Linked DNA regions of Stegostoma tigrinum. The protein of the gene in region 3 interacts with the protein of the main gene of each other region in a pairwise test. Links are inferred from orthologs where the notes say so. Each region holds a gene or a part of one and is shown on either strand. Other genes may lie near its edges.

Evidence for each region.
Region 1: the proteins of diamine acetyltransferase 1-like (region 3) and translational activator of cytochrome c oxidase 1-like interact in binary tests that used the Homo sapiens proteins (3 or more experiments, as listed by UniProt). The two-hybrid records come from large-scale screens. The link is inferred for Stegostoma tigrinum from reciprocal best matches to the Homo sapiens genes SAT1 and TACO1.
Region 2: the proteins of diamine acetyltransferase 1-like (region 3) and hoxb9a interact in binary tests that used the Homo sapiens proteins (3 or more experiments, as listed by UniProt). The two-hybrid records come from large-scale screens. The link is inferred for Stegostoma tigrinum from reciprocal best matches to the Homo sapiens genes SAT1 and HOXB9.
Region 4: the proteins of diamine acetyltransferase 1-like (region 3) and tcf25 interact in binary tests that used the Homo sapiens proteins (3 or more experiments, as listed by UniProt). The two-hybrid records come from large-scale screens. The link is inferred for Stegostoma tigrinum from reciprocal best matches to the Homo sapiens genes SAT1 and TCF25.

Annotation. Positions count from the first base shown.
Region 1 is NC_081384.1:38,590,152-38,598,165, forward strand, and holds the start of translational activator of cytochrome c oxidase 1-like, read left to right. Parts: upstream 1-5,002; 5' UTR 5,003-5,058; intron 5,059-7,349; 5' UTR 7,350-7,370; coding exon 7,371-7,677; intron 7,678-8,014. UniProt on the Homo sapiens protein: Acts as a translational activator of mitochondrially-encoded cytochrome c oxidase 1.
Region 2 is NC_081384.1:4,143,927-4,150,760, reverse strand, and holds the start of hoxb9a (homeobox protein Hox-B9a), read left to right. Parts: upstream 1-3,818; 5' UTR 3,819-5,314; coding exon 5,315-5,831; intron 5,832-6,555; coding exon 6,556-6,797; 3' UTR 6,798-6,834. UniProt on the Homo sapiens protein: Sequence-specific transcription factor which is part of a developmental regulatory system that provides cells with specific positional identities on the anterior-posterior axis.
Region 3 is NC_081365.1:77,559,767-77,566,970, forward strand, and holds the start of diamine acetyltransferase 1-like, read right to left. Parts: upstream 3,009-7,204; 5' UTR 2,613-3,008; coding exon 2,547-2,612; intron 1-2,546. UniProt on the Homo sapiens protein: Enzyme which catalyzes the acetylation of polyamines. Substrate specificity: norspermidine = spermidine >> spermine > N(1)-acetylspermine. This highly regulated enzyme allows a fine attenuation of the intracellular concentration of polyamines.
Region 4 is NC_081369.1:38,570,035-38,577,015, forward strand, and holds the start of tcf25 (transcription factor 25), read right to left. Parts: upstream 3,024-6,981; 5' UTR 2,893-3,023; coding exon 2,710-2,892; intron 1-2,709. UniProt on the Homo sapiens protein: Component of the ribosome quality control complex (RQC), a ribosome-associated complex that mediates ubiquitination and extraction of incompletely synthesized nascent chains for proteasomal degradation.

The DNA.
Region 1 (8,014 bases), on a different chromosome or scaffold from region 3:
GTTGTCTCCTCCCACAATACAACCAACTCTGGCTCAGTCGACATCACTGGTCCCATCTGGACCAGCTCGGTATTCTGTCCCCTGTTGGTGAGGTGCAGCTACCGGCTGGTTCACTGTCTCCTCCAGACTCGTTCAACACTGTGCACCCTATATGACAACTGTCCATAAGACCTTAAGACGTAGGAGTGGAAGTAAGGCCATTCGGCCCATCGAGTCCACTCTGCCATTTAATCATGACAGATGTGCATTTCAACTCCACTTATCCGCACTCTCCCTGTAGCCCTTAATTCCTTGTGAGATCAAGAATTTATCAATCTCCGCCTTGAAGACATTTAACGTCCCGGCCTCCACTGCGCTCCATGGCAAGTCCTAACTGAGCCACCACCACTGCTGGGATCCATTTTGCCCAATATGTAATTTTGGGCCAGAATTTTTCCTCTTTGGTGTACCCTCAAACTTGACGTTCCCACCCTTCTGACCATCTGTCCTTCCTGGTTTCAATTTACTTCCTCTGGTCTCTTCTGGTTGCAGTAAGTCAAACGTGATTCTCAGCTGGTGGTTAAACATTTAAGGACATCAACAAGCACTGGGTCGTTGACTATGGTGTATTCCCATATGTGCTGAGGAACTTAAGTTGCCGTACTTGCGAACACTCCAAGACCTGCTTCAAGGTTTGTATAAATTTCTCCATCTGGTTGTTTGTCACAGGGTGATATCGAGCCAATCTCATGTCTGACTCTGCTTTTCCAGGTAATTCTTGAACCCTTGTGCCACAGACTGGATCGGTGTCACTCACAACTTGTTTGGAGTTACCACACCATGCAAATAGTTTGACTGAGGCCACCTCCCATGGGATGAAGGGGCAACGATGGCTCTGCTTTCCTTACTAATGCACAGGATTAATATGATCCCACTTCCTCCACATTCATCCATCAAAAGTAGCTCTTGGCTATTTCTTTCGTTCACACCATGCCAGGGTGCCCTTAGTGCACCTTTCCTCTTAACAGGGGAGGGGCAACAAATCTCCTTCCCCACATTGAATTAACTGATATGAACAACTCCCACCTCTTGGACAGGTCACGGCATAATTTGGGGCAGTCTCTATGACGAGTCCTTCCTCTCAGGACTAAGTCCACTACAAGGTTCAAGACATAGTCATTTTGAGCACCATTCCGCAGCCGACTTTCTGATACCAATATGCTGTCTTCCTAGGAAAAGTACATAATTTTCAGGTTTCAGTCAGGAACATCCTTATTTTGCAGTCATGTTAATCTTGACAAAGCATCTGCATTTCTGTGCTTTTTCAACTGTCAGTATCTCATGATAGGAGTAGGCTGTCAAAACTAATGCCCATATTGACAGGTGTGCTGCCACCATTGATGGTATTCCTGTATAGATGTCAAAAAAGGAGCTTCACAGCCTGTGGTCTGTCAGCAGCATAAAGAAAATGGGAGAACTTTCAACATCAAGCACAATGCTCAACTCTTCCTTTTGCACTTGAGTATACTTCTCCATCTTCATTAAATCTTGATGTGAATGCAATGGACCTTCCATCTCTCTTTGGAAAGATGTGACAGTACAGGGCCAACCCCATAAAGTGAGGTGGCACCCCAACTGCAGTGGGGAGAAATTATTCAACACATCCAACCTTTTCAGTGCTTGCTTCACCTACCAGCAAGCCTCCATTTTCACAACTCTCTTTTCCAGATGACTGTAACCTAGAAGTTACCAAATATCCTTGTCACACCATCTGTTTTTAAGGCTGGGATGATTGGAGTGGCTCATTCATTGGTAGTTACTGGTTCCAGTGCTCCCAGGTTCACCACCTATAGCAATTCTCACCCTCTACATTAGGCCAGGTGGTGTATGGTACTGAATGTGCCTTCAGACTGCTTGGATAAACCCCCCACCCTACTTCAACCAAAGTTTAATTCCTATTCCTTTCATTTCCTCTAGGGTTCCGTCAAAGACATCTTTATAGAACATAGAACATAGAACAGTACAGCACAGAACAGGCTCTTCAGCCCACGATGTTGTGCCGACCATTGATCCTCATGTATGCACCCTCAAATTTCTGTGACCATATGCATGTCCAGCAGTCTCTTAAATGACCCCAATGACCTTGCTTCCACAACTGCTGGCAACGCATTCCATGCTCTCACAACTCTGTGTAAAGAACCCGCCTCTGACATCCCCTCTATACTTTCCTCCAACCAGCTTAAAACTATGACCCCTCGTGTTAGCCTTTTCTGCCCTGGGAAATAGTCTCTGGCTATCAACTCTATCTATGCCTCTCATTATCTTGTATACCTCAATTAGGTCCCCTCTCCTCCTCCTTTTCTCCAATGAAAAGAGTCCGAGCTGAGTCAACCTCTCTTCATAAGATAAGCCCTCCAGTCCAGGCAGCATCCTGGTAAACCTCCTCTGAACCCTCTTCAAAGCATCCACATGTTTCCTATAATAGGGCGACCAGAACTGGACGCAGTATTCCAAGTGCGGTCTAACCAAAGTTTTATAGAGCTGCAACAAGATCTCACGACTCTTAAACTCAATCCCCCTGTTAATGAAAGCCAAAACACCATATGCTTTCTTAACAACCCTGTCCACTTGGGTGGCCATTTTAAGGGATCTATGTATCTGCACAACAAGATTCCTCTGTTCCTCCACACTGCCAAGAATCCTATCCTTAATCTTGTACTCAGCTTTCAAATTCGACCTTCCAAAATGCATCACCTCGCATTTATCCAGGTTGAACTCCATCTGCCACCTCTCAGCCCATCTCTGCATCCTGCCAATGTCCCGCTGCAGCCTACAACAGCCCTCTATACTGTCAACGACACCTCCAACCTTCGTGTCATCTGCAAACTTGCTGACCCATCCTTCAATCCCCTCATCCAAGTCATTAATAAAAATTACAAACAGTAGAGGCCCAAGGACAGAGCCCTGTGGAACACCACTCACCACTGACTTCCAGGCAGAATATTTTCCTTCTACTACCACTCGCTGTCTTCTGTTGGCCAGCCAATTCTGTATCCAGACAGCTAGGTTCCCCTGTATCCCATTCCTCCTGACCTTCTGAATGAGCCTACCATGGGGATCCTTATCAAATGCCTTACTGAAGTCCATATACACCACATCCACAGCTCGACCCTCATCAACTTTATACTTGCACAAAATCTCTTACAAACTCATTTTTGAATCCATCCCACTTTTACTTTAACGTCTGTAACCAGAAACATCTGTAATGCAGGGTAATCACATTTCACAATGTACAGAGGCAGTCAGAACACTGGGTCCGCTCACTGGGGTCCCAGAACCTGAAATAGAAAATGAGGTAGATGGAGGGCAACCTTGTGGTCCTTTATGGTGGGCACTCAGTGTAAACTCTCATTGACCTGTGGTCCTTGTGTCAGAGAACACATAGGATGAAAGAGATCATAGTGAGAGGGCAATCACAGAGTGTGAGAAATCAGTGATCACTATCAGAGATCTCACAGAATAAAAGAGATCACCAGAAGAGGGAGATCGCTAAGAGGATCACCGATCACAGTAAGATCAGTGTGTGGGGCAGATCAGTGAGCATTCAAAGTGTGAGATCATAAGTGAGATCACAGTTAGAGGAAGATTACAGTGATCAGTGGGAGAGGAGATCACAGTCATGGGGAGATAATGGTGATCAATGAGAGAGGGGATTACAGTCGAGGGGATCCTAGATTAGTCAGAGAGGGAGATCACAGTCAGGGGGGCCACAGTCACGTGGAAGATAACGGTGATCAGTGAGAGAGGCAGATCACAGTCAGAGGGGAATCAAGTGATCAGTAAGAGAGGCAGATCACAGTCAGAGGGGAATTACGTGATCAGTGAGAGACGGGATTACGGTCAGAGGGGGATCACAGTCATCAGTGAGAGAGAGGATTACAGTCAAAGGGGATCACAGTCAGAGAGGATCACGGTGATCAGTCAGAGAGGGAATTACAGTCAAAGGGAGATCACAGTGATCATTGAGAAAGGGGATTACAGTCAGAGGGTGATCACAGTGATCAGTGAGAGGCGCAACTACAGTCAGATGGGGATCTCAGTGAGAGAGGGAATTACAGTCAGGGGCACCACAATAATCAGTGAGAGAAGGGGATTACAGTTAAGAGGGAGATCAGTGACAGGGGGATCACAGTCAAGGGGGGGATCACATTGAGAGAGGGGGTTACTATATCAGAGGGGGATCACAGTCAGGGGCAGATGACCAGTCAGAGAGGGATCACAATCAGAGGGAGATGACAGTGATCAGTGAGAGAGTGGATCACAGTAAGAGGGATATCACGGTCAGGGCAGACCTCCATGATCAGTGAGAGAGGAGTTCACAATCAGAAGGTGATCATGGTGTATAGCGAGCAAGGCAGATCACAGTCAGAGAGGGATGACAGTACTCAGTGACACGGGTATCACAAAGGGGATCATAGTCAGAGGGGTATCTCAGTGGTCATTGAGAGAGGGGATTACTGTCAGAGAGTGATCACAGTGACCAGTGAGAGAGGGGATCACGTCAGAACGGGCTCAGAGTGAGGGAGGGGATTACAGTCAGAGGGGGATCATAGTGATCAGTGAGAGAAAGGGATAACAGTCAGAGGAGGTCATAATGATCAGTGAGAGATGCAGGTCATAGTCAGAGGGGGGATCACAGTGACCAGCAAGAGACTGGATTACAGTCAGTGGGAGATCACATTCAGGGGGAGATCACAGTCAGAGGGGATCACAGTGATCAGTGAGTGAGAGAGATCACAGTCGGAGGGGATCACAGTGATCAGTGAGTGAGAGAGATCACAGTCGGAGGGGATCACAGTGATCAGTGAGTGAGAGAGATCACAGTCGGAAGGGATCACAGTGATCAGTGAGTGAGAGAGATCACAGTCGGAAGGGATCACAGTGCTCACCGAATAATCACTGGCAGAGCCATCCAGCTGGGCGGTACTGCGCACGCGCTGTTTCCGGCCGGTACTGCGCGAATGCGCACGCGTGCCGTCCAGGACCCGAGCGGCCTGCAGGTTGGCCGAAAAAGAGAGGGTGAGGGCCTGAGAGGGGAGGGTGGTGAGACCGGAGGGTATCATAGCCTCTGCGGATACAGCAGGTCCCCACAAACCGTGTAATATCTGTCTAGATTACCCATTGGAGGAAGGGAGGGGGATGGCCAACCATTTGTAGTGTTTAAGAGGAGTGTACTTACCATATCATAAGATTCCAACGGTATGGAAACAGGCCATTCGGCCCGACAAGTCCATACTGCCCTCCGAAGAGCATCCCACCCAAACCCATTCCTCTATATTTCCCATGTCTCCCCCACCTAACCTAAACGTCCCTGGGCACTATGGGGCAATTTAGCATGACCAATCCACCTAGCCTGCACATCTTTGTACTGTGGGAGGAAACCAGAGCACGTGGAGGAAACCCCCACACACGTGGGGAGAATGTGCAAACTCCACACCGACAGTCGCCCGAGGCTGGAATTGAACCTGGGCCCCAAGCGCTGTGAGACCGCAATGCTAACCACCGTGCCAGAATTTCTTACATTCTTCCCTTTTTTCATCTTTCCAGGATGCCATTTGTCCAGTTTTATCACAATTTGATTGCCAACAAACAGGGACACTGCCTGGAATGCACCTATGTGATTTGCAGAGCTGAACCATGCTCCTTTATAGGCCACTTTTAACTGTCAGAGAACACCTAATGTGAGGATGGCTGGTTTGAATGACACTTGATTTTCTTCATTGAGTGGATTCTTACTCAGGACCTCCTCCTCCTTTCACTAGCACCATCAGTCTCACTGCCAACCCCTTCGTATTGCCCACAGTACCCTACCACAGTTGAAGTGTTCCTCATTTCATCTGGTTGGGTACTGTGCTTCGAGGTGAACTATTGGTCAAGGCACCAGGGAGAACACCCAGTGTTCTGAAATAGGGCTGCTGCGGCCTCAGTTTAGCACCTCAACTGATAAACAACAGCTCTGATACTGCAGCAACAGAAACTTGATTTATATTGTGTCCTTCTGTAGTTAAAGTCCAAAGATACTTCACAGAAGTGTTGTCCAATAAAATTTGAATTGTACAGTATTAGGAGTTATTAGGGTGGGGGCTGAAGGGTTTGGTTAAAAATATATTTCAATTGAGTATCATAAAAAAAATGTGGAGAGATAGGTTTAGTTTCAAAGTTGCAGATGGATTCAAATGATTTGCGGCCTTGCCAATGGTGGAATGTTTAAAATCTGGGATGTTAAAAAGGCACCCCACAGCAACAATGACACTGAGTTGCATAGCAGATACTAAGCCAGGTGGCTAAATGTATGGTCAAAGAGGTAGGCCTTAAGGAAAGGAGAGGCAGGAGGGAGCAGATATGTGTGTGGAGTGGTATTTCAGAATTTGTGGCCAAAACAAATTTGAAAATGTTTATTGATGGTTGAGCATTTACAATTGTTAATGTACAGATTTCTGGAATTGGTTGAGTGCAGATATCCTGGAGGGTTGTGGGACTGAGAGAGATTGGAGATAATGAGGGATTTAAAATCAAGGGTGAGAATTCAGAAAGTACCGCACAAAATGAGTTGAGATGATCAAAACAGTCTGGGATACAAATATCCTCACATACCCACTGTAGCCTGTGTGCACTTTGCGTCATCCATCACCCATCTATGCCAAAATTTTTCTGCTGCTGTCCACTTTGCTACAATCACTGATTTGTGATAACACCAGTTGAAGGTCTATAAAAATGCCGAGATGCCTTCTTAGAAGAACAATTGAAAACAAGAATATTATGTTAAACTTAGTTGGATCATAGAGAAGTGTGCAGAGTCCTAGTCTTCAGAAAGCATGTGGAGGGGCCGTTGAAGGTGCAAAACAAAATTACAAGGCAGATGCCATAATGTGGGCTACACCTAACAGGAAAGACAAAAGAGACCGAAAAGGAGGATAAGTCACGCGAAGTTAAGGAATTTAAATTAATTAAAGATATGATTGGGTAGGTGCAGATAAAATATTTCCACTTGTAGGGAGTCCAAAAAAAAAGCCTGGAGGGTAACATAGGATTTTTTTTAATTAGATATATTAACTTTGTTCAAAAATTGGTGAGAATGTGGAAATCACTGGCAAGGTGTGGCTCAGGTGCTTAGTATCAATGCACATGAAGGAAGATACATTGATGGGGTTAGGTGAGGAAGGTGGAAGAGTCTTGTTTTAGAGCAGAAATATCAACAGTTGGGTTGAGTGACCTGCATGAGAGCAATAAATTGTACATATTTATGGTTTTTTCGGGATAGTAAGCATTTTACTGTGTTCAGTATAGCAGTTTCACCTTCACTTTTACAGGTGATTGACAGGACCTCAGCTATGGCTACAGTTGCTGCATTTCAAAGTGTTTGCTCATGGAACAGAAGATGTCTCCTATTCTCACTGCGGTGGTCAGCCAAGTTGCTGCCAAAGCCCAGAGTTTTATTATCAGTGCCTACTCCCACGTCCAACCAGGCAAGTGGCCAGTATTGTTCCTTTTCACAACGTGCTGAGATCCACACGTCTGCAGCTAATTCCGCAGGGCACAACAAATGGTCAAAGGTGAAGCACGTCAAAGGGCCAAAGGATGCTGAGAGGAGTCGGATGTTTGCTAAGTTGTCGATAATGCTTCGCTTTGCAGTGAGAGGTAATATGGACAAAATAACCACAGCCCATGTTTGTTTCTATTCCAGTTGCATTTGTTTATTAGTTTTCTTTTCCCTGCCTGTTGGTGGCTGAAGTACAATTGATGCGGTGACTTATTTGCAGTTGTAAGCTCATTGAGAAGAGTGACATCACTGGAAAGTCTGTCAAAGGTGACCGGTGCTTTACTACAATGTAGAGAGATCTGGATTATCCAAATACCACCCCAACCCCACATTCATCCCACACAACCTTGTCATTAGATCGTCAGCATTCTTGCTACAAATATTAAACTTGTGGAGTTCAATTTTAAAACCTTGTATTCAGTGGCCCAGGTGTAT
Region 2 (6,834 bases), on a different chromosome or scaffold from region 3:
AACTACAAGTGGAAACTCGCTAAGTGTTATCCACGTTTGTTTTCAAGACTTTGGAAAACATGCTGAAAATGGTAGGGCCTTGTTGTCATGTTTCACTGGCGTATTCTTCCAGATCCCCCTGTAAGGCTGTTGATAAACAAATTGACTTGGTGGAAAATTAAATGTTTCATTTTCCTGAAGTTTCTTGTTACAATGGTCTGCTGATTATGTTAAAAAGTGCAAACGTTGCTCTTTTGCCATGATAATGATGCAGTATAGTGAGACTGATCGCTGCGGTTTCTTTTATGTGTATTCGAATGCCCAGCGAGCCCGAAATGGTACAATGTGTCCTTTTGGATTGATTAAAGAAGGATAGATGTAGTTTAGAGCCGCTAGAAACTAAGGTTTGTAAATATCCCGCCTTCATTTCCTTTCTTAGAAATATGTGAGAATTTTATTAATGTCATTATATTTTAAAGAATAATGCTTAGTAAAAACGTATCTCACAATGTCAATCTTTATTTTAGTGTTCGAATTGAACTTCATTCATTAAGTCCAGTCTATGGCGCATGTGAGATGGAACTGCTGTGTGACTTAGGTAGTTTCATGTTGTTGGGCTTCTGTTTGATCGCAGTGACAAGAAACTGCCTGAATTACTCCAGTTATTGTCATCGCAAACTTTTGGAACTTAGTTAAAAAGAGGAATCTCTGCTGTTCTGATACCCGAATAAATGGTTCCTGTGGCAAAACACTAAACGTGACGAAGCTATAAACAATGATATATAGTGCGAACTGTTATTGCAGATTACCGGACACATTTATCTATCCTATTGCTATTTATCCGATACATCGCTATATTCCAAAATGTAGTATTTGTGTATGAATGGCATGGTAAAGTTTTAAACAATGCAAATTGTGTGCATTTTTCTACTGATAAATGCACAATTTTGGAATTGCCTTGTCATTGCAAGCATCATTAGTTTGATCCGAATTTCTATTCGTCAGAAGGATCTGCAGTCAGATGGATTAATCGATTATACGTTGAATAAATTAATCGATATCTAAATCAACAGAACAGATGGATGAACTTGCAGTTGTGTAAGGTGTGTTCCCAGTAATATCTGCACCGTCTCTATTCATAAAAGACGTTATTACATGTTTTCTTGTAAGGCAGACAAATGGACAATGGGCCCTTGGAAAGCTGAAAATCTGTCGATATACAAGACGATTTATTTCTGTATCATATTAATTCAGTGTAACAGCTTTTATACATTTGTGTTATGATCGAGGGACGATAACTCTCTTCCATTCCCAGTTGAGAGCGCTCTTCAGTCCTCCAATGTTATGTTATCAAGTCTTGTAGTGTGAAGTAGTTGTGTTGTTTTTTTAAATTTAGCATAATATGTCTAGTCATAAAAGATAATGTTGTTACCACTTTATCATTAACGACGATTGTTCAGTCTATCACAATATTGCTGTATATCAAAAATATAGTCTGGGTCAATAATACTCCGGTAAGATACATCTGAATATAACTCATAGGCTTTTAAACTGGAGGTATCCAGTTGCAGAAAGACATTAGGCAAGCTTCCAGTGAGATTATTGCCTGTGGACGAAGAAGCTTCAGTCTTGCCCTAATCGATTTGTTATTTTGTTCGTTTACATATCAAAGTATAAGTTGAGCGAGTTTCCGCTGATAATCTTCAATTCGTTCGCCTTTGCTGTCAGTTTGGAACCTGCGAATTAAGTGTAGGATGCTGTTTAAAGTACTTGTAGGAATACATATACTGCCCCTGTTTTGCCCACCGAGTGAATTGTATAATGTCATCTCGGTTAAGGAAAAAGGAGCCCCTTTTAACAGCAATTTAGTGCCGAGGAGTGTTCCATCATAAACTTTATTTGATTGCCATACATTCAGCATCTTCACGATTTAATGTGAAGATTCTTTGTTTTCTTGTCTCTCTGCGTATTTCCAATGCATTATGAATTGAGCAAAAGGTGAGAGTGCAACGAACAAACTTACTAATGTGAAAGTAATAACTGCGTTGAAATGACTGAAGTTCGATTGGATTGCACAGCGTGCTGAGACAAGAGCAAAATGGCTCGCTTCTTTAATCGTTAGACTTAAATTAAACATCTTCTTTAAAATATAAATGTGGTGTTGCCACCAAATGACCTGCAGCGACCCTGAACGATGGATCTTTTCCTTTTCATCATGCTACTTGCTGTGTTTGGAGGCTGTGCCCAATTTTGCTTGGCAAGGATTGATAATGTATTTTTTAAAGCTTCTAAAAGTATATTACTTAAACTGGAAATTTGCAAGAAAGACCAACGATTTCCTACTTCTAAAACCATTTAAATATATTATTAAAACTCTCATAAAACCAAAGGTCTTAGAAATATTAGAAATGATTGTTGATTGTTTTATACATTACTGTTGAAACGCAGTTCCCTGTCCTTGTCGATGTCACACTTTGCATCTGTTTTCCTGTATTGATGTAACAATTAAAAGCATATTTCCCATTTCACTGAAGAATACCCAAAACTGCTTTGTTGCGAAAAAAATGGAGTGCATATTTTCATTGATAATGAAACCTTTATGCTATTAAGAAAATTGTTTAAACTGGGATTTGTGCATTTAAGATAAGTTTTAGATGCAAACGGGAAAACCCGGCATATCCCTGCTATAACTTCCAGCTGGGAAGAAGAACGACAATGCTAGTATCATATTGTCAATTAAAAGTTCCGAACTAAAAGACAGGCGAGTGTCTCTGAAGTATATTTTAACATGTAGACAGCAATACACTGGCAGAGTGATTGTTTCAGCTTGAAAAGATACATATAAAATCCAATAACTGTGTTTACTTTGAGTAAATAGATGTCGACTTATTTCGCGCATTAAATAATTTTTTTTACTGTTCATACATATAAAGCTGTTTAGAAAATATTGATTTGTGGCATTTTTGGATGTCTATAATTATATATCAAAACTTGCATATTTGGCTCCATGAGCAATAATCGCTAACATATCCCGTTTTACAAATGACTGAAAAATCTATTTGATGCAAATATTCAGATGCGATCTGCAAATCACGCCGGCCTTTCAAAGGGATGCCTGCCGTTGAAACAATCGCCCTATTTGACTGTTTAGACTGGACAATATTCATTGATGTTAAATGAAGATGTATCCGTCAGCATCTTAGCAGCTTGAGAATACGTTTTCAAGTACGCAGCCTTGAATGTAGAATAAGGTTAAATTAATTTCCCCCAATGTTTTCATCTAAACTTTCGAATTCATCATGGCGGCAAAATAAACTTTATCGGCAGGCGAGTGGACAAGAGGGTTACTTTTACTTCAACGCATCGCCAGAAAGAGCAAACAGAATCAAAATGCTAAAGAATTTTGTGAATCTTGTGAGATATTTATGATCATGATGCTAACAGCAAATATAAGTACATAGGTGAACCGTTTCACTGATCTTATCTAATAATTGAATATTCTCAAAAATATTCCCGGTACAGTAGTTTGGACCTTATCCAGGCTCTTGCAAGGTTTTTTTTATCATGGAGAATTCAGTTGGTATTTAAGATATAGTGGATCTCCAATAATAACATTAACGAATACTCAGATGTTCACCTCAGCCGATAGTTTGTTCTATACCTCTATACTCGTTAATGCTATCTTAATAGAAGCCACTGTTGTAAATTAGCAGCCCTGCCGACGGTCACCTGCCTGCCAGCATAACCGTCCAAAAATTACAATTCAAATATTCGTCGAATTATTTCCGAGCCTAAATAAATGTTTGTTTATTCATTTTTAATTATTTTTCTTCATCTGAACAATAAATTTTGTTTCGTCAATTTATAAACTAAACCATTGACAGGATTAGAATTTAAAATGTTTATATAAATATTCCCCCAATTTGTAATGTTCTTCATTGCCTTCGCCATTGTTCGTCCTTCATCAATTATCAAATCTCTTCAAATACAACTCTTTGCATTTAACGCATTCATTTAGAGGTCGATTACAAACATCGATTCTATTTTATTCCGCTGATGCAAAGTAAAGTATTAATAGTTTCCATTAATAAGTTCCATTTCTTTCAAAGTGATTTGCAATTTAAAAACCGAATAATTTTCAACCTGTGTAAATTTTTCATTACCCACCGAATTTTGTCTGAGTATTCGCATTTCACTAATTGTACTTAGTTTTCGAACATTAATTCACGCTTTGTCCTTAGCTGATGATACAAAATCTTTCTTGGCTCTTTTCTTCCTGGAACTGACGGAAAACATAAGAGAAAACTTAGTTTACATTTATAGTTAACCTCTAACAATGAGTGTATATTTTAATACACAATAATTATTCACTTGTTCACTAAAGTTCATGATTATTGGAGGGTTCGCTTTTCTTTTTCCTTTGTTCCAAAATAGACTTGCGAGGAATTTGAAATCACACAGCATAAACAAAGCAGGATAATACGTAGCCGTGGCTTTCGTATGACTGTGAGCTTTAAAACATCACAATGGGAACAAAAAAGACTTTGTTGGCTGGAAATGCAGAAACCAGAATCAGAAACTACTTTAAATCCAATTCGTTCTAATCTTCCTCAATTGCAGTCTTTCGACTGAATTAAAATTTTACGAGAAAGTAACGGACCATCTTCTCACATTTTCGTGTATTTTCATTGCAATATCTTCTCTATAAGATCTAAAGTTGTCACACATAGCACGCACGCATATTTCATTCAATGGCACCAGAACCTCGGGCTAATATTGTCAACTCCAATCTAAGCGTTCCGAACCACCAACCTCACCAGCTTCTCGTACCCATCAAGTACAAATATCGCAAGAATAATCTGCTGCGTTGATTGCATTTAACACTTCTTATGTTACGGATTTAAAATAATAACAGTAATACAAAAACTGGCGATGATGAGACCTGGTGTGGGAATTTATCGCACGACGTAAGATTGATTAGGAAACAAAATAGTTCCTTTAAAAAATGTCCGTTAAAGTTAACCAGGTTTTGCATTCTGAGGAATAGTTGCTCAGTATGTATTTATCCGTGGTACTGTTTATTGTTCAATCCCCCTTTTACTTCTAAATGTATTTAATACGGGGGGAGGAGGGGGATGCTAATTGTTTAACCCCCATTGCGGATTGATTTACGTTTTATTGTCGCTTTGTCGGCCTCATGAAAACTTTAACCAATCGTTTCGCAGATAGCCCACAACATATTAGCTAACTCTACTTTGTTAGTGGAGAAGTTGAGAGAACAATTTCTAGTCTTACATATAATTTCTCAATGAATCGAAGTGTATGATGTTTGACAATGTCGATCTCTGGTGCTATTGGCAACTACTTTGTCGATTCACTTATAAGTCATGAAAGCGAGGGATCGCCTGCAACAAAGTTTGCTTCGGGGCAATACTTAGTCTCCAGGCAGCCGCGAGTCCCCGAGCACCCCGAATTTCCTGCTTGTAATTTTCAGGCGAAATCTCCGGTGTTCGGCGCCCCTTGGGCCCCCGTGTACGGCCAGCCTTCTGCCAATGTTCCCACTTTGCACCATCCTTACGTCCAGTCTCACCCCATTCAGCCTGATAGCAGGTACATGCGGTCCTGGTTGGACCCGACCCCCAGGGCTGTGTCCGGACCCGGAATGCCTTCCAGCGGTCACGATTCATTGAAAGCAGAAGTACCCGCAACACATGGCGGCGAAACCCTACCAGCAGCGCTTCAAAAACTACATGGCGAATATTTGGAGAGCGAAACCATTTGCTCCGGGAAAGCGCAGTGCTACGAAGACAGTATATGTGAAGAGAAGGCAGACAAAGAGACATCAGAGCAGAGTAAGTTTTTCGAGAGATCTACTTAACTTATCTCAATGAAAATAGTTTCCAAACCTCGTACAAAACAAAAACACGCTATTGTAGTAAGGTTCCAATTAAAAGGTAGTTTGTTCCCAGTTTAGCCTCAAGGATTTAACTGGTCTTATGTCGCTTGTATATTATACGCCTCCGTTCTGTTTTATGTAAACACCTGCATATCCTTAATGGCGGTTTCGCCAGATTATCTTCTACGAGACATTGCATAAATGGAGGAATAAATAAAAAGTATTCACTGCTGTTATTTTCCGTTCGAAATAAGCTCCTGAGAACCATGAAATGTGCGCCGCACCATCTTTATGTGAAGCTGCGGAGAAGGGAGAAAGGAAATATTTCATGTAGCGGAGTCGGCTCTCCGAGTTTATTTCTGAATTGTAAACGTGGTAATCAACAGCAAAATGAAGTCTTCGCAATTCGAGAGTGCCCAACAGTTTCCAGTTCAGTAATACACTATACTAATGGACAAACGCTTAGGAGTAACACAAGACCCAGACACACACACACACACACACACACACACACACACACACACACACAGACACGCACTTTCTTAATACTTAGCTAGACCGATATAACTGTGGAAGAAGACTCCCACAAGCAGTAAAATGTTAGAAATATCATTTAGAAATTATGATTGCAATATAATTCTTATTCTCATCTGATTATTTTCCCCTTCACTCATCTTTAGACAATCCTGCTGCAAACTGGTTACATGCCCGCTCAACGAGGAAGAAAAGATGTCCTTACAGCAAATATCAGACCCTGGAGTTGGAAAAAGAATTTCTGTTCAACATGTACCTCACCAGGGACCGGAGGCACGAAGTAGCGCGTCTTCTTAACCTGACTGAAAGACAAGTCAAAATCTGGTTTCAAAACAGGAGAATGAAGATGAAAAGACTCAGTAAGGAGCATGTAAAAGAGTTCGAGTGACTAGCTGTTTAAATTTAACTTTAGCGCGTAGCCGGTT
Region 3 (7,204 bases):
TGTCAGAATGGGAACCTGTAAGAAATGGAGCATCACAGTGATCAGTGCTAGGGCTACATTTATTTCCAATATATATCAATGACTTGATGACTGAAGTGAATGCTCCATCACCAAGTTTGCAGATGACACAAAATTCTTGTGTCAGAATTTGAAGGCAAGTAGTGATGAAGACACAGAATCTACAGAAGGACAAAGCAGGCTGAATAGGTACAATATAATGGAGGAAAATGTGAGGGTTTGCACTTTCACAGAAAGAACAAGATAGCTGAATATTACCTAAATGGGGAAAGACTGCAGATAGCTGCAGCACAGAAGAACTGGGCAACCATCAAACATGGATCACAAAAAGTTTACACCTGTAGGTAATAGGAAAGGGAAATGGACTGCCAGCCTTTACTTCAAAGGGAATGGAATATGAAAACAGGGAAGCCATGCTAAAGACACCACATAGTTAGACACTCCTGCAGTATAGTGAATAGTTTGGCCCATTATCCAAGAAAAGATATACTAGCAATGGAAACACTTCAGAGACTGTACACTGGGTGGATTCCAATTATTTTCTTATGAGAAGAGGTTAAGCAGGTTGGGCCCATACTCATGAGTTTAGAACAATGAGTGGGCACTTTATTGACAAACTAGATTCTGAGATGACTTGATAAAAGTAGTTGAAGAGACATTGTTGCACCACTCAGCCAGCCCATGGGAGAGTCTAGGACCAGACGGCATGATCTCAAAAAGGTATTATCTAATGAAAACTGACACAGAAGACTTTTATTTTCCCCTCTGAAGCATAGTGAATCTGTGAAATTCTTTGCCAGAGGAGACTGGATCATTAAGTATATTCAAGGCTGAGACAGATATTTACAATCAGCAAGGGTATCAAGGGTTATGGGGAAAAGGCAGGCAAGTGGAGTTGATGATGATCAGCCATGTTCTCATTGGATGGCAGAGGAGACTCGATGGGTCTACCTGGTTAAAGCGAACCGATGATAATGGGAACTGCAGATGCTGGAGAATTATAAAATGTGAGGTTGGATGAACACAGCAGGCCCAGCAGCATCCCAGGAGCACAAAAGCTGACGTTTCGGGCCTAGACCCTTCATCAGAGAGGGGGATGGGGTGAGGGTTCTGGAATAAATAGGGAGAGAGGGGGAGGCGGACCGAAGATGGAGAGAAAAGAAGATAGGTGGAGAGAGTATAGGTGGGGAGGTAGGGAGGGGATAGGTCAGTCCAGGGAAGACAGACAGGTCAAGGAGGTGGGATGAGGTTAGTAGGTAGGAGATGGAGGTGCGGCTTGGGGTGGGAGAAAGGGATGGGTGAGAGGAAGAACAGGTTAGGGAGTCAGAGACGGGTTGGACTGGTTGTGTGGTGCAGTGGGGGGAGGGGATGAACTGGGCTGGTTTTGGGATGCGGTGGGGGAAGGGGAGATTTTGAAGCTGGTGAAGTCCACATTGATACCATTGGGCTGCAGGGTTCCCAAGCGGAATATGAGTTGCTGTTCCTGCAACCTTTGGGTGGCATCATTGTGGCACTGCAGGAGACCCATGATGGACATGCCATCTAATGGGGACCGCTTTGCAGAACACCTCCGCTCAGTTCGCAACAAACAACTGCAACTCCCAGTCGCAAACCATTTCCACTCCCCCTCCCATTCCTCAGATGACATGGGCCTCCTGCAGTGCCACAATGATGCCACCCGAAGGTTGCAGGAAGAGCAATTCATATTCCGCTTGGGAACCCTGCAGCCCAATGGTATCAATGTGGACTTCACCAGCTTCAAAATCTCCCCCTCCCCACTGCATCCCAAAACCAGCCCAGTTCGTCCCCTCCCCCCACTGCACCACACAACCAGCCCAGCTCTTCCCCTCCACCCACTGCATCCCAAAACCAGTCCAACCTGTCTCTGCCTCCCTAACCTGTTCTTCCTCTCACCCATCCCCTTCTCCCACCCCAAGCCGCACCTCCATCTCCTACCTACTAACCTCATCCCACCTCCTTGACCTGTCCGTCTTCCCTGGACTGACCTATCCCCTCCCTACCTCCCCACCTATACTCTCTCCACCTATCTTCTTTTCTCTCCATCTTCGGTCCACCTCCCCGTCTCTCCCTATTTATTCCAGAACCCCCTCCCCATCCCTCTCTGATGAAGGGTCCAGGCCCGAAACGTCAGCTTTTATGCTCCTGAGATGCTGCTGGGCCTGCTGTGTTCATCCAGCCTCACATTTTGTTAAAGTGAACCGAGACCACATGAGGGAGGGCTTATACTCAGTGTGCCCTTAGGATCCACCCCGTGGAAGGGGAAGCTGGAGGCAAGTGACCTCATCCCACCTCCAAACTCCCGGGGGAGCTGGAGGCGGATTCATTCCATGTTTTCAAAAGAGCTTCAGACCCTTCCGAGCTGCAGAAAAGGACCGCGGGGTCACAGGGGAAAGCATGGACGGGGGGGGGGGGGGACGACGACTGCTGCTTAGAGATCGAACACAGACCGGACGGGCCGAGAGGCCGCCCCGTGGATTGCAATCGTTCCGATCAACACAGGAGCTCACCCTGATGAGGCGGAGGATGTCGCCGCAGTCCCGGGGTGTAGCTAGTCGGACAGTGTAACTGGTCATTTTCGCCTCTTATTTTTCTTGCTCTTTCTCTGGAGACCCCAGTACTTGTACAGTAAGACCAGGTTTTTCTTCATCCGCGTCCCGCGAATCAGCCTGGGACCTTTCGTGGTGCCGGGTATCAGTGTCAGCTTGATTCCCCTTTAGACACTGCGTTCCCGATGTGAACTCCGCTTTGCGTCCCCGCTACCGCTGTTTATAAACAGCCTGCCGCAGGCTGGGCTCCTCCCAACAAGTGTCCGCCTCCTGACCCAGAACTGACTTTCAAGGCAAACTTCAAAGGCGAAGCTGCAATCGGCCAGTCCGCAAAAGAAAAGATACCTGTCTAGGATGTAAGCGGCTCATGCAGCATTCGACCTTTCTGAGGCACAACATTATGGATTCAATGTCCCATTTCACAGGAGTGCTGCGGTACCGGAGGTGGATGGCTTCAGAAAGATTTCTGCTCCAATCTACAGCCAGGGCTGCTCTCTCTCTCTACTGTGGTGGATCGAACCCTTTTCTGAGCCCTCGGGAAGAATGGAAACATAGTCCCACTCAGCGAAGACAGGTGTCGCCGGTCAAAGTCTTCCAATATGGATAACATTACCATCTTCTGCTCAGATCCAGTTTCGGTGTGTAGATTGATATGCATCTGTGACCATGTCAAATGGCCTTGCTCGCCAAAATAGGTTATGGCCAGAGCAAGGCAGTGCTGTCTTGAGAACTGGACTGACATGTTCTCTTGGTCATCAAGTCAGATTATCTGAAGGTGCTGGGGATACAGCTCAGACAGCCTGAGTGGGTGACACAGAAAAATGAGCATGTGGAAGCAACACTCCCTCTCGATTATGCATCAGAGCTTTCTCAGGTTCTTCCAGTGTTGTTGTATATTCTGCAGGTCTGGCAAATTCCTCACTCCATTACAGTGGTGATCACATGAGCCATCTTCTGCTTTATCTGCAGGTTAAAAACTGGAACATGATGTAGAAATCTCTAAACAAAGGAAGAAAGAACCGACCAAACAACTGTCTATCTGATGACTAGCTCTCTGTGTGGCTGCATCAAGCTGTGCATATACCTTCAGTACACAAGCAATGTGCTTAGGTCCTACCTTTCCCCAGTGTTACGGAGGATGGCGCTATCCACATTGTCATAGAATGTTGCATCTACTTGGGACTGTGTTGTACCATCTGCCCCTCATGGTAAAGTTCATGCACGTAAAGATCTTTGACCAGTCCAACAGGCAGTCATCTGCATCTAATGCGCTAGATGTCCTCCAGGAAAAGAAGATGATGGCAGGTCCTGTTGGATGGTTCCTTGATATTACATTTACAAACAAGATCAAGATGTAGCTTGGCTATTGGTGAGAAATGTTCTCCCTGTCAGATTTTTCCTGCATGCCTTAAATCTTATGCAATTTGGGTGAATCAAATTGGGAAAGATAGCCTGCAAATGGGTTCATAGCATGTATCCGGGCAATTTCTTCGAGCAGAATGTGCTAGTCCAAACAGGTGTGGATTGGACTATTCAACATCTGATAATGTTCAATGAGACAAATAATTAATAAAACCCAAGCAAACTGCGGATGCTGTAAATCAGAAATAAAAACATAAATTGCTGGTAAAGCTTAGCAGGTCTGGCAACATCTGTGGACAGAAATCAGTTAACGTTTCAGGTCCAGTAACCCTTCCTCAGAAATAATTAATAACCTCACAGTAAAGGGGCCTCTAGGTGATAGCAATCATACATGATTGAATTTTCCATTAGGCTTAAATGTGAGAAGTAGGAGTCAAAGTCTAACGTTTTAAACTTAAATAAAGGTGATTATGAGAAAATGAAGGCAGTTGGCTAAAATGAACTCAACATTGGATTAAAAGGTAGAAATTGTGTAATAGACTTCTAAGGAGATAATTATTAACTCTCAACAGATATTTATGGCATTGAAAAAGAAAAGTTTTTTGAGAAGGATGTGTTATCCTTGGCTGCGTAAGGATGTTAAATTGGAAGAAACATTGTATGGTTGTGTGAATGGAATATAAAAATGGGGTAGCTTTACACCACCCATACAGGGCCCATGATTATACCACCCCTGGAATGCTGAATAAAGTTTTGATCTGTTTATTTTCGAATCAACCTGTTCAGAGATATTACTACACAGCTCTGGAGCAGGTGGGACTTGAACCTAGGCCTCCTAGATCAAAGATAAGGACACTACCACTGCCACACAAGATGCCTAAAGTTATGGTCTCATGACTTGAAAAAGGAGATTTTCATTCACAGAGAAAATTAACTTGAATCATTCCTGGGCTGCAGAGTTTAACTAATGAATGAAATGTCGATTGAGCAGGTTGGGCGTATGCCAACTGGCATTCAAAAACAAGAAGTGACCTTCTCGAAATACATAGGGTATAAATAATATACAATATAATGTAAAATTTAAAAGAAAATGAATTTGGATGTTTGGAAGAAGGGTCACTGGATCCAAAACGTGACCTCTGATTTCTCTCCATAGGTGCTGCCAGACTGCTGAGATTTTCAAACAATTTCTGTTTTTGTTTCAGATTTCCAGCACCCGTGGTTCTTTTGGTTTTTTCAATAGTTGTTACTGTGTTGAGCTCTGCTGAACACACAGAACTGGTCTTGATTGAAATCCAGTCAAAAGCAAAGCAGCCCTGAACAAAGATCTAAGGTATCGATGTGTCCAGCATTCTCCCCAACTGTTTGAAGAAGGTGACTTTGTGGATACAATTTACGTTTGTTTGTTTGTTTATTTATTTATTTATTTATGGATGTTGCAGGTTCCAGGGTTTAGATCTTTCATTAAGATCAGGGAAGGTGGTAAAAGAGGGGGAGGTGTGGCTTTGTTAGTCAAGGACATTATAACGGGGGCTGAAAAAACTTTTGACGAGGACTCGTCTACTGAGGTGGTATGGGCTGAGGGCGGAAACAGGAGAGGAGAGGTCACGCTGCTGGGAGTTTTTTATAGGCCTCCGCAAAGTTCCGGGGATGTGGAGGAGAGGATTGGCAAAACGATTCTGGGCAGGACTGAAAGGAACAGGGTGGTCATTATGGGAGACTTTAACTTCCCCAACATTGACTGGAAATGCTATAACTCTAGTACATCGGATGGATCAGTTTTTGTCCAACGTGTGCAGGACAGTTTCCTGACAGTGTGTCGAAGGGCCGACAAGTGGGGACAGTCAAAATGTGGAGCTGGTTTAAGAACAGATATTGCGTGTCCTTGATAGGTATGCCCCTGTCAGGCAGGGACGAAGCGATAAGGGAACCATGGTTTACTAAAGAAATTCTATCTCTTATTAAGCAGAAGAAGGAGGCTTATGTGACGATGAGACGAGATGGTTCAGATGGGGCATTGAAGAGTTACAGATTAGCTAGGAACGATTTAAAGAGAGAGTTAAGAACAAGAAGGGGACATGAGCAGACAATAGTAGGTAGAATAAAGGAAAACCCTAAAGCTTTCTAAACATATGTGAGGAATAAGAAAATGACTAGGGTAGAAATAGGGCCAGTCAAAGTCAAAAGTGGGAAGTTGTGTGTGGACCCTGTGGAGATCGGAGAGGTGCTAAAGGAATATTTCTCATCTGTTTTCACTCAGGAGAATATTGTAGAGGAGATGACTGAGTTACGGGCTACTAGAATTGAAAGGATTGAGGTTAGTAAGGAGGAGGTGTTATCAATTCTAGAAGGTGTGAAGGCAGATAAATCCACTGGGCCAGATGGGATTTTTCCAAGCATTCTCTGGGAAGCTAGGGAGGAGGTAGCGGAGCCTTTGGCCTTGATCTTTGAGTCCTCATTGTCTACAGGTTTAGTACCAGAGGACTGGAGGATTGCAAATGTTGTGCCCTTGATCAAGAAGAGCAGTAGAGATGAACCAGGTAATTATAGACCTGTGACCCTTACGTTGGTTGTAGGGAAAGCTTTGGAAAGGATTATAAGAGATAGGGTTCATAATCATCTAGCAAGCAACAATTTGTTTGGAGATAGTCAGCATGGATTCGTCAAGGGCAGGTCATGTCTCACAAACCTCACTGAATTTCTTGAAAAGGTAACCAAGCATGTGGATGAAGGTAGGGCAGTTGACGTGGTGTACATGGACTTCAGTAAAGCCTTTGATAAGGTTCCACATGGTAGGCTATTGGAGAAAATACAGAGGCACATGATTGAGGGAGATTTAGCAGTTTGGATTAGAAACTGGCTTTCTGTAGGCAGGCAACGAGTGGTGGTTGATGGAAAATATTCAGCCTGGAGTCCGGTCACTAGTGGTGTGCCTCAAGGATCTGTTTTGGGATCACTGCTGTTTGTCATCGTTATAAATGACTTGGACGCAGGCATAGGTGGATGGGTTAGTAAGTTTGCGTATGACACTAAAGTCGGTGGAGTGGTGGACAATGTGAAAGAATGTTGCTGGTTGCTGGGACACTTGGATAAACTGCAGAATTGGGCCGAAAGGTGGCAAATGGAGTTTAATACGGATAAATGTGAGGTGATTCACTTTGGGAGGATTAATAGGAAGGCAGAATACTAGGTCAACAGAAAGATTCTTGGTAGTTTGGATGTGCAGAGGGATCTTGGTGTCCATGTACATAGATCCC
Region 4 (6,981 bases), on a different chromosome or scaffold from region 3:
CCTCCCACCCTCCCTCCCTCTCCCCGCCACACCCACCCTCCCACCCTCCCTCCCTCTCCCCGCCACACCCACCCTCCCACCCTCCCTCCCCCCGCCACACCCACCCTCCCACCCTCCCTCCCTCTCCCCGCCACACCCACCCTCCCACCCTCCCTCCCTCTCCCCGCCACACCCACCCTCCCACCCTCCCTCTCCCCGCCACACCCACCCTCCCACCCTCCCTCCCTCTCCCCGCCACACCCACCCTCCCACCCTCCCTCTCCCCGCCACACCCACCCTCCCACCCTCTCCCCGCCACACCCACCCTCCCACCCTCTCCCCGCCACACCCACCCTCCCTCCCTCCCTCTCCCCGCCACACCCACCCTCCCTCCCTCTCCCCGCCACACCCACCCTCCCTCCCTCTCCCCGCCACACCCACCCTCCCTCCCTCTCCCCGCCACACCCACCCTCCCACCCTCTCCCCGCCACACCCACCCTCCCACCCTCTCCCCGCCACACCCACCCTCCCTCCCTCTCCCCGCCACACCCACCCTCCCTCCCTCTCCCCGCCACACCCACCCTCCCACCCTCCCTCCCTCTCCCCGCCACACCCACCCTCCCTCTCCCCGCCACACCCACCCTCCCACCCTCTCCCCGCCACACCCACCCTCCCACCCTCCCTCCCTCTCCCCGCCACACCCACCCTCCCTCCCTCTCCCCGCCACACCCACCCTCCCACCCTCCCTCTCCCCGCCACACCCACCCTCCCTCTCCCCGCCACACCCACCCTCCCACCCTCCCTCTCCCCGCCACACCCACCCTCCCACCCTCCCTCTCCCCGCCACACCCACCCTCCCTCTCCCCGCCACACCCACCCTCCCTCTCCCCCGCCACACCCACCCTCCCACCCTCCCTCTCCCCGCCACACCCACCCTCCCACCCTCCCTCTCCCCGCCACACCCACCCTCCCACCCTCCCTCTCCCCGCCACACCCACCCTCCCACCCTCCCTCCCTCTCCCCGCCACACCCACCCTCCCTCCCTCTCCCCGCCACACCCACCCTCCCTCCCTCTCCCCGCCACACCCACCCTCCCTCCCTCTCCCCGCCACACCCACCCTCCCACCCTCCCTCCCTCTCCCCGCCACACCCACCCTCCCTCCCTCTCCCCGCCACACCCACCCTCCCACCCTCCCTCCCTCTCCCCGCCACACCCACCCTCCCTCCCTCTCCCCGCCACTCCCACCCTCCCTCCCTCTCCCCGCCACTCCCACCCTCCCACCCTCCCTCCCTCCCTCTCCCCGCCACACCCACCCTCCCACCCTCCCTCCCTCTCCCCGCCACACCCACCCTCCCTCCCTCTCCCCGCCACACCCACCCTCCCACCCTCCCTCTCCCCGCCACACCCACCCTCCCACCCTCCCTCCCTCTCCCCGCCACACCCACCCTCCCACCCTCCCTCCCTCCCTCTCCCCGCCACACCCACCCTCCCACCCTCCCTCCCTCCCTCTCCCCGCCACACCCACCCTCCCACCCTCCCTCTCCCCGCCACACCCACCCTCCCTCCCTCTCCCCGCCACACCCACCCTCCCTCCCTCCCTCCCTCTCCCCGCCACACCCACCCTCCCTCCCTCCCTCTCCCCGCCACACCCACCCACCCACCCTCCCTCCCTCCCTCCCTCTCCCCGCCACACCCACCCACCCACCCTCCCTCCCTCCCTCCCTCTCCCCGCCACACCCACCCTCCCTCCCTCCCTCTCCCCGCCACACCCACCCACCCACCCTCCCTCCCTCCCTCTCCCCGCCACACCCACCCACCCACCCTCCCTCCCTCTCCCCGCCACACCCACCCACCCTCCCTCCCTCCCTCCCTCTCCCCGCCACACCCACCCACCCTCCCTCCCTCCCTCCCTCTCCCCGCCACACCCACCCACCCTCCCTCCCTCCCTCTCCCCGCCACACCCACCCACCCTCCCTCCCTCCCTCCCTCTCCCCGCCACACCCACCCACCCTCCCTCCCTCCCTCCCTCCCTCTCCCCGCCACACCCACCCTCCCTCCCTCCCTCCCTCCCTCCCTCTCCCCGCCACACCCACCCTCCCTCCCTCCCTCCCTCCCTCTCCCCGCCACACCCACCCTCCCTCCCTCCCTCCCTCCCTCCCTCTCCCCGCCACACCCACCCTCCCTCCCTCCCTCCCTCCCTCCCTCCCTCTCCCCGCCACACCCACCCTCCCTCCCTCCCTCCCTCCCTCTCCCCGCCACACCCACCCACCCTCCCTCCCTCCCTCCCTCTCCCCGCCACACCCACCCTCCCTCCCTCCCTCCCTCCCTCTCCCCGCCACACCCACCCTCCCTCCCTCCCTCCCTCCCTCCCCCCGCCACACCCTCCCTCCCTCCCTCCCTCCCTCCCTCCCTCTCCCCGCCACACCCACCCTCCCTCCCTCCCTCCCTCCCTCTCCCCGCCACACCCACCCTCCCTCCCTCCCTCCCTCCCTCCCCCCGCCACACCCTCCCTCCCTCCCTCCCTCCCTCTCCCCGCCACACCCTCCCTCCCTCCCTCCCTCCCTCCCTCTCCCCGCCACACCCTCCCTCCCTCCCTCCCTCTCCCCGCCACACCCTCCCTCCCTCCCTCCCTCCCTCCCTCTCCCCGCCACACCCACCCTCCCTCCCTCTCCCCCCCGCCCCAACCCACCACCCCACCCCACCCCAGCCCAGCCAGAGCGGGCCCTCACCAGTTGGGGCAGGTTTCCAGCTGCCGCTTTATTTCCCCTGTTCCTCCGTCGTTTTCGAGACGTGGCGGGTTCCAGCGGCCTCTCTTCTTCTTCCTCCGCCTCCTCCTCCTCCTGGTCGGCAAAGTGATTGAGCGGTTCTTGTTTCCGCTCCCCGCGCAGTTTCCGGAGGCTCCTGGAAGACATGGTGACTCCTGCCTGCCGCGCCTTCCTCCCAACACCAGGCCCAAGCTCAAGCCTGAGCCCCGCGCGCTCTCGCTCTCCCTGTCAGCTCCCGGCTCGGAACCACCAGTGCGCCTGCGCCGCTCTCACCGGAACCCCGCCCGCCAACTTCCCTGGGACCGGAAGTGGAGGGAGAAAGGGCCGGAAGACCGTGAATAATGGGAACTGCCGATGCTGGAGAATCCAAGATAACAAGGTGTGAAGCTGGATGAACACAGCAGGCCAAGCAGCATCTCAGGAGCACAAAAGCTAAGGTTTCGGGCCTAGACCCTTCATTAGAAAAGATTTTCTACTCTATGGGCTTGAAGACTGGCTGTTTCCGCTGACACTCAATGGAGAAGACTAAGTCTGAGAAATTAACGTAGGATGTAAACGGAAGACGATGGAAACTCAGTTCATCCAGCAGCATCTGTGGAGAAACGAAAAGAGTTAACTGTTTGGGAGTCGCCTTTCCCCTCAATGAACCAATCACAGAATCCCTAAGTGTGGAAGAAGGCCATTCAGTCCATCGAGGCTGCACCAACTTTCTGAAGAATGTCCAACCCAGACCTGCCCTCCAGCTCTGACCTCTTCACCTTACATTTACCATGGTCAGTCCAGCCAACCTGCACACTTTTGGGCTGTGGGAGAAAACCACATAGACACGGGAAGAACGTACAAGCTCCGCATGAGATCCAGAGGGTGGGATTGAACCCAGGTTCCCAGTGCTGTGAGACAACAGCAGTACCAATCTCTCAGCCTGACCCCACTAAAGCTGCCTCTTCTTAAATCGCGATATCACTTTCTGTTTTTATCAGTAGATATTGAGCACTCTGAAGAAGAGTCAAAATGGTCTTGAATTTCTGTTTTTATCAGTAGATATTGAGCACTCTGAAGAAGAGTCAAAATGGTCTTGAAATGTCAAGTCACTTTCACAAATTGACCCTTGTATTCTTGTGTTTGTTTTGGAAAGGCACTGGAAGTGAGTCCAGAGAAAACAAAGATCAGAAAATCATGCACCTTCTCATTCCACCATCTTCCTCCACACTAAATGCAGGAGAGATTGCCATTGCCAGCATGTCTACACCAGTCAGATGTTGGCCACAGATTTGACCTCCAAGGCAGAAACTGTTGCCTTCCAAGATTGTACAGGATGTTGGTGAGGCCTGATCTGGAGTTCTGTGTGTAGTTCTGGTTGGCCTGCTATAGGGAGGAAATTATTTAATTGGAAAAAGTTTAGAAAAGATCTATCAGGATGTTGTTAGGAACAGAGGGTTTGAAGTATAAAAATTGGCTGGGACTTCTTTTTCTCTGGAGCAAAGGAGGTTCAAGAGTGACCTTATAGACGTTCATAAAATCTGAGGAGCACAGATAAGTGAATAGCAAGGGTCTTTTCTGTAAGGTGAGCAAGTTCAAAACTAGGGGGCATATTTTATGTATTTTTAGTGTCTATTTTGTTTGACTGTGCCACTTCCAATGCAGGAGCGATTTGAACTAGGGTTTTCTGGATCAGAAGGAGCCAAACTACCACTGCGATACAAAAGCCTTTTTAAGAATAAATATTTATGACGAGCCTATCGTGCTCCTGGCTCAGAGAATCTACAGCTACACCATATGATTACCTTCATGTGAGAGTTGTACCCTTGGTTTTATACAGTATCCCCTACCATAATGTATCATCTCGCACTTTGTGTTGAGCTTCATCTGTCACCTATCTGCCCACTCCATCCAACTGTGTATGTTCTTCTGCAATTCTACACAGTACTAATTGTTCACAATACTTTCTAATCGTTTTGTCATCTGCAAATTTTGAAGTTTTGTCCTGTACACCGTGGTTAATATCATTCATATTTACCAGGAAAAATAAGGGTCCTAATGCTGACTCCTGGAGAACTCAATGCAAACCTTCAGTTGCCTAAAAGTTATTCAGTAACCATTACCATCGGTTTGCTGTTGTCACTCAGCCAATTGTAATGGATCGGACCGGATCCCCCAAAGTATATTATGGGGATAATCTAGACTCACTCTTCTATACTTTTTTAAAAGACAAATGTAAGCCCCTGTTCCAATATAATTCAATTGGCCCACCACCACGCTTTTAATCAAAACACTTCTATTCTTGCAGCACAGTTAAAATGCAACAAAAAGAAGGATTTGCATAACTTTACTCTATTGAAATATTTCACAAAGATAATGTATTATTTAACCACTAATTAGCAACTATGGTTCCAATAAAGGCAGCATATACACACCATTGGCAAAGGCAATTCAGCAGAACAGTTATTATTCTCTCACGCTGTCTCTCTCCACTCCAGTAGAAAGAAACGATCAGGCCCGTTTTGATTTTTAAGAAGAAACCTCTCTGTCTAAGACTTCACCGCAGCAGCAGAGAATTCAAGCTTTCAGCTCCAACAGCCAGTAGAACCACCAGCTAATTCAAAGCAAAATCAAAGCCCTTTGGGGGTTTGTGTGAGCCTGACCCCATTCACTCATGAGTGTTTTGTCTTAAACATAACACCAAGGAGAACTCAAAACTGTTTACCAATTGCCTGTCTGAAGGAGACATTTTTGTACCACTATGACAACACCCCTCTGCAGAAGAAACAGGACAGAACACATTTCTTAAAGGCACAATATTGTCACAAAATTTTGTTTCCATGTTGCTGCTGTTCCTTTTATTCCACTAGATCTAACTTTGCTCACAGTGTTTGTTGTGTGGCACTGTAACAAATGCTTTCAAAATGTCGATCTATAACATAGGAACAGCTTTGCCATTGTGAACCTTTCTGTTACCTCTTCAGAAAATGTTCGCAAGTTAATTAAACATGAGTTTTCCTTGGGAAATCCAAGCTGGCTTTCCTTAACTGACCTGCACATCTCCAAGTGTCTCCTAATTTTATCCCAAGCTATTGTTTTCATAAGGTTTCCCAATCACCAAAGTTAAACTGACTGGTCTGCAATTACATTGTTTTCTCTTCCATTAAAAGCTCTTTGTAAGTCTCCTGTGTCAAACATTATTCCTTAACTAACAAACAGACAATTAGTGGGATTCAATGAGGTGACATATGAAAATTTTTTAAAAGTTCTTCTACTCCTTATATTTCTAGGTAGGAAGACCATACCAGCAAACAAGGGTGTAGTTCTACTTCTGAAGAAGGGTCAAGACCCGAAACATCAGCTTTCCTGCTCCTCTGATGCTGCTTGGCTTGCTGTGTTCATCCAGCTCTACACCTTGTTATTTCTGTAGATAATAAAATGTGAGGCTGGATGAACACAGCAGGCCAAGCAGCATCTCAGGAGCACAAAAGCTGACGTTTCGGGCCTAGACCCTTCATCAGAGAGGGGGATGGGGGGAGGGAACTGGAATAAATAGGGAGAGAGGGGGAGGCGGACCGAAGATGGAGAGCAAAGAAGATAGGTGGAGAGGGTGTAGGTGGGGAGGTAGGGAGGGGATAGGTCAGTCCAGGGAAGACGGACAGGTCAAGGAGGTGGGATGAGGTTAGTAGGTAGCTGGGGGTGCGGCTGGGGGTGGGAAGAAGGGATGGGTGAGAGGAAGAACCGGTTAGGGAGGCAGAGACAGGTTGGACTGGTTTTGGGATGCAGTGGGTGGGGGGGAAGAGCTGGGCTGGTTGTGTGGTGCAGTGGGGGGAGGGGATGAACTGGGCTGGTTTAGGGATGCAGTGGGGGAAGGGGAGATTTTGAAACTGGTGAAGTCCACATTGATACCATATGGCTGCAGGGTTCCCAGGCGGAATATGAGTTGCTGTTCCTGCAACCTTCGGGTGGCATCATTGTGGCAGTGCAGGAGGCCCATGATGGACATGTCATCAAGAGAATGGGAGGGGGAGTGGAAATGGTTTGCGACTGGGAGGTGCAGTTGTGTGTTGCGAACTGAGCGGAGGTGTTCTGCAAAGCGGTCCCCAAGCCTCCGCTTGGTTTCCCCAATGTAGAGAAAGCCGCACCGGGTACAGTGGATGCAGTATACCACATTGGCAGATGTGCAGGTGAACCTCTGCTTAATGTGGAATGTCATCTTGGGGCCTGGGATGGGGGTGAGGGAGGAGGTGTGGGGAC